Linked DNA regions of Drosophila melanogaster. The protein of the gene in region 2 interacts with the protein of the main gene of each other region in a pairwise test. Each region holds a gene or a part of one and is shown on either strand. Other genes may lie near its edges.

Region 1 (2,930 bases), about 11 Mb from region 2:
TAGCTCCGGTTATTTGGGTGGATTGGACAGCACTTTCGCCAGCCAGCCGCTGAATCCCAATTTGCCCTTCTCACCGGATGGTAAGTGGTTCGATTTGAAGTTTGATTTCGTCCAAGCATTATTCTACAAGTACTAATGGCTTGCTTTTCAACAGACTATCCGGCCAACTCGAATGACAGCTTCTGCAGCTCGGACCTCTCGCTGGATGGGAGCAACTTTGACCAGTTGGATGACGATGCGGACTCGCTGTCGCTGAACAACCTGGAGCTGCAGTCCACCAGCTCGTCGGGCAACCAGCACTCGCACTCCCACTCGAATCCCCACGACATGCTGGCCAACCTGAACAACAGCCTGATAAACCCCATCGACAAGCTGTATCTCATGCAGAACTCGTACTTCAGCTCGGAGCATTAGATGGCCATTGGCTGGAATGACAGGGAAGCACCGAGGCGATCGTGGGATAGAGACGAATTTATTAGCGTTAGAGTGGCAGGATCCGATGGAAAAGGGACGCGAGGTCCTTGCTGTTACTTTAAAACGTAGCGCGTAGTTGGCACCTTCCGCATTCGGCGCATTAAGTTGGAGTCGTAGAACCGGATACAAGATACATCAAATGTGATTTTTTTAAGCTAATTGAAATTTTAAGATTCTTGGCGATTTGAAGGCGCAGAAAAACGGGGCGGGCAGCACATCTTTTTGTTGGTATAGACTCTAGAGGCAAACCAAAAAAAAAAATGTATAACTCCTTGAGAAATGGCAAAGTGGTCAATGCGCCCTCTTATGTTTGTAAATAGTTTTAACCACCCGAGAAAATTGTTATTAAATGTAATTTAAAAGTCAATAATTGTATTAGCAAGTGCAATTTAATCTGTTCCCCTAAAATATACATCTTAACCGAATTCTTGCAAATGTCTGTGGATCTTATCTTCGAATTAACGGATGCGTTCAATATTTTAAATGGGTTGGGATTGACTTGCGATTGTTAATATTTTTATTTCGCATGATTTTCCTTTATTTCTTATTTTTTATCCTTCGTCTTTTATCGGTAATATCGTCTCTTATTTTAAAAAATTAATTTTTTTTTTATATAATTGTAAGAATATTTATTTATTTATTTCGTATTTATTTACACAGCCTAATTTATTTTAAATTTTTTATTTGCCGTATTATCGAAAAATCCATTTAAGATGCGTTGATGCTTGATAATAAATAAAGAGCACAATAACTAAAAAGAAAACTTATTGCGTTTACTGTATTTACTCGACTGCGAATATATACACCTTTTTTTTGTGAATACTATGAATGCCTTAGTAAAGCTTCATAAATTGACCGAAATATATTATTTAAAAACCATATTTTTTTGCCCGCCAAAATGCTGCCCGTACAAAGCTGGCTTTTATGAAACTCGACCAATAGCGACGACAAAGCGTTGCCACATGGATAGAAATAATTAACAGATGGCAGCTCAGCTACTGCTTAATTCCTTTTAAGCCACACAGTTTAAAGATTTAATATACATTAATTTTTGATCAAATTTTATGAAAGTAATATTTATAAGCCAAATGTTAATAGAATATCGTTACTCACAATCACACATGAAATGTATCGATATGTATTTTTTAAAACAGCGATCGATAGTTTTTTATTTTTACAGTGCACATCTCTAAAAAAAAACAACGCGTTCGTCGAAATTGCAATAAACAATAACAATGGTACAAAACCGAAATAACTGTGAATTTAAGAATTAACATTAACGCTTTATGTAATCTGCAGCTCTTTTACTCCTTCTTCAAGTCGCTGGTGGGCAAGGAAGTCGTTGTGGAGTTGAAAAACGACCTCAGGTGAGATTCGTTTATTTGCCGGTAAATTGAGGAATTTTTAATACTTTCTTTATAATTAAACAGCATATGTGGCACCCTGCACTCGGTGGATCAGTACCTGAACATCAAGCTGACGGATATCAGTGTCACAGATCCGGACAAGTACCCCCACATGCTGAGCGTCAAGAACTGCTTCATCCGTGGCTCCGTGGTGCGATACGTGCAGCTGCCGGGCGACGAGGTGGACACCCAGCTGCTCCAGGATGCGGCGCGAAAGGAGGCTGTTGTGAGCACAAGATAAGAATACCACTACCAGCAGCCCAATTGGATCTACCCATTGCTTCGTAAACTGTCCTAAAAACCTAAGTGAAATTCTGTTAAAGCAAAACCAATAAGAGGAATCCCCGTATTAAGTCGCTATGTACGTTATTTACGGCCCATCAGTTTTCGATGAGTCAGTCTCGAGGTTACCGTGGGTGCTGCTCCCTACGCTTGCGCAAATGTCCCAGCTTTTATCGCTCCACGCTTGAATGGAGCCAGTAGAGCCAAGTGTGGCTTGTGGGCCAAATTTTGTGTCATGTTGATAATGGTCCATAAATTTGTATAATTGCTGTGACGATGTACTGGCTGTCTGAATGTCTGGATGCCTTGTCTACACATCACCGGATACACGGACTCATTCATACAAGGTTTCCACAATGGGTTGCTATATCACACGACTATACTCGTATGTACTTGCAGCCCGTTTTACGATTGTGATTGCTATTATGGCCCGGCCCTCGAATTCAACCTTTTATCCGCAATAAAATGGAGGAGCCTGGCGGAATGCTTTTAATTTTCTGGACCTCGACCCGCTCCTTAAGTGCCTCTTCGCCAGCCGCCATCGAATGGCTTTGTTTGCTGGAATTCGTACTTAAAATAAAATACGCATTCGTGGAACACTTTTCGCTCGGCATTTACATTTCGGAATGGCCAGGGAATCGCGTTCTAAACTTTGGCAGTTGGTCAGCGGAACATCACGAAATATCGATCCATTAAAAGTTGAAGGGCTACAGGCAGAAAAAAAACATAGCTACTTCGAATATAATGTTACCAAATTTGATTGTAAAT
Region 2 (2,884 bases):
TTTGCCTCATGGGCACGCAGTCTGCCCGTCGACATAATGCCGGGACCCTACGACCCGGCCAACTTTATGCTGCCCCAGCAGCCGTTCCACAAGTGCATGTTTCCCCAGGCTGCTCAACTGGCAACTTTCCAGGCGGTGACTAATCCGTACAGCTGCCGGCTGGATGAGGCCCTGGTGGTAGGCACATCTGGCCAGAATGTATCGGATCTGTTGCGCAGCACTTCGCTGGACTCGGCGCTGGAGGCCCTTCGCTGCACCCTCACCTGGGGACATGTTGCTCCCACTGCACCGGACACTCTAGCGTGCTACCCGTACATCGAAAGTGATCCCTTCATCCTGCGCGAGTGTCCGCACGTTTACTACGCCGGCAACTGCGAGTCGTTTGCGACCGAGCTGCACGAGGGTTCCGAAGGCAAGCGCACCCGCCTAGTCTGCGTGCCCAGTTTTAGCAAAACACAGAGTGTGGCCGTCGTTGACCTGGATACGCTGGATTGCCGCATGGTCAACTTTAGCGTAGATGCAGAATAAGAAACTTCATTAATACAAATAATACACCCTGTTAAGTCTTGAGAATCACTGGTTTTATTCGCTATCCTAGTGCACCACGGGACCCAGCGGCTCGCCCCTAATGTTGGCCAAATCCAGGCGGGAGTCGATGGTCTCGTCTATCAGTCCGATCACCGCGATGTTGTCCCCCCGGATGATGTGCAGTCCCAGCACGATTTGCTCGATGCCGGAGGTGGTAGAGAAGACGCGCTCATGGCACTCGTCTATGATGATATTGATGGTCTGGTCGAATCCCTTGAGTGTCCCGATGAAGTTCCGTCCGTCTGCCGTAATGATGGAGACTGTGTGATTGATATACGACTCCAGACCGGACATTTTAGCAGTCTTTCCTTGATAACTTCTCCAAACAGAACAAAATAAATACTAATTGTGGCAAGAGGCTAGCGACGCGCTCTCCGATAACGATAACTGTGCCGCAAATCAGCTGTTCCGGCTCTGGTGCTCATGTAATCGGTGGTCAACATTCTATTTTCCGAAAAAATTAAATTAAACTGATTAAAATGCTGCGTCGCATTGTCCAAGTGGGTGCCCGGGAGTTGAGCCGAGCCCAATCGTCAACCGCCAGCGCGGAAAAGTGGGACCTGTACGCCGGAGTGCTCGTAGAGCGTCTCCCTGTGGTGTCCAAGTCCCTTAATCCGCTGGAAAAACAGTTCCAAGACTTGCTATGGCGCGTGGAGTACGAAAACAGCCTGAAGTCTGACCATGAACTCAAGCATGAACGTGAGATCGTCCAGGCGGAGCTCATAAAGCAGGGCAAGATCCAGGTGGACTTGGAGGACGCAGGATCCAAGCAGACAGCTCAGGACCTCAAGGACGCCTACGTCGAGGAGCTAAAAAAGTTCCAGTTGGGCTCCCGCACCACGCCCGATGACCAGGCCAACAGAACCACCTCCACGGACCGCTGTCTGGATGACACGCTCTACCTTTTGGTACAGCAGAAGCTGGGCCAGCAGGAGCACCTCATTCTACCGCAGGGAAAGCGTGAGGAGGGAGAGTCCATGCGTCAGACTGCAGAAAGAGTGCTCCGCGAGAGTTGCGGCCAGGAGCTGCAGGTTCTTTTCTACGGCAACGCCCCAGTGGGCTTCCACAAATACAAGTATCCCAGAAACCAGCGGACGGAGACTGTCGGAGCCAAGGTCTTCTTCTACAGAGCATCCCTGCGGTCCGGCCAGGTGCCCGAAAATCTGACCAAGTTCGAGTGGCTTCCCAAGGAGGCGCTCAATGAAAAGCTGACCAATACAGCCTATGCCCAAAGCGTTAAAAAGTTCTTGTTGTAATCGTAATTGTTAAAATTGTTTTGATATCTAACAAATAAATAAAAATACTTCAGAGGAATATCTATCTACTAGCTGCCTTTCATTTGAGAAGAATCTGGTGAGATGCTGATACTTTTGCCAACTTCCTTCTGCAAAATCAGATTACAGACTCCCCTGAATTTTTAATAAAAACTCCACTCATTTAACATATTTAGACATGCAGCAATATATTTATTTTTGCAATTCACGAGTTGTAAATATACGTCCAATACAGAGGCAAATATTTATTGTTTTGTTTTTCTTTTTTTTTTCTGCTTTGAAAAAGCTTACTACTTTCGTTTCGAATACACGTAGAAACTGGAGGAAACATAAAAGGCTGGTTATTATGCATTTCTGGTAGCAAGAGTATCTTAAATCTTTTTGGTATATCAGTTGTATCTATGTTCGTTACAAGTTACAGACATTCAATATTGAAAATGTGTGCTCGATTACTGGAAGCTAAGCTTTTTATCTGCTTTTCAGGCGCAAGTTGATCAAATTACTGTGACAATGTTCTCGATTAGATATCTTCTTCGGCGACCGGACGCGTAGCCAATTCTCAAACTGAAACGTCAAAATTTAAGATACTTTCTCATTGGGCTGTTGATAAATAAATGCAAAAACTAGAAATGGTTCATAGTCATGTTGATAAATATGTATTGCAAGGTGCTATTGTTGATTTAAGGTTCATTGTGGCATAGGTTCTTAAATAAGCATTAAACTGTTTGACTTAGAGACTAAATTATCGAAAATAATGGTGTAAATATATATTTTTGTTTGATTTTTTTTTGTGTTTTGTTGGTTTTTAGAAATATACTTTAAATTGTAAGACATATGCTCAGGCGCCACTAAATAAGACAATGCAGGCTCTTTAGTTCTGGAACAGCGTTCGCGTGAAGTCTATGTAGTCCAGGGCATCCTTGATGGGCTGGCCGGAGCGCGGTTCCGAGAAGGGTTTCATGCGCTGCACGCAGTAGTCAGCCATGTCCTTGGTGAGGTTCTGTGGCAAGAAAGCAAAGATG

What was found.
Region 1: the proteins of CG2021 (region 2) and CG10418 interact in a two-hybrid assay, tested with the Drosophila melanogaster proteins (2 studies listed by BioGRID).

Annotation. Positions count from the first base shown.
Region 1 is NT_037436.4:12,335,006-12,337,935, forward strand, and holds CG10418 (uncharacterized protein), read left to right. Parts: upstream 1-1,670; 5' UTR 1,671-1,709; coding exon 1,710-1,712; intron 1,713-1,773; coding exon 1,774-1,841; intron 1,842-1,904; coding exon 1,905-2,121; 3' UTR 2,122-2,231; downstream 2,232-2,930. Other genes in the region: Lmx1a (LIM homeobox transcription factor 1 alpha), read left to right, coding at 1-80, 155-414.
Region 2 is NT_037436.4:1,776,449-1,779,332, forward strand, and holds CG2021 (uncharacterized protein), read right to left. Parts: upstream 964-2,884; 5' UTR 883-963; coding exon 595-882; 3' UTR 562-594; downstream 1-561. Other genes in the region: PolD2 (DNA polymerase delta subunit 2), read left to right, coding at 1-528; mRpL46 (mitochondrial ribosomal protein L46), read left to right, coding at 1,068-1,844; alpha-Spec (alpha spectrin), read right to left, coding at 2,734-2,862.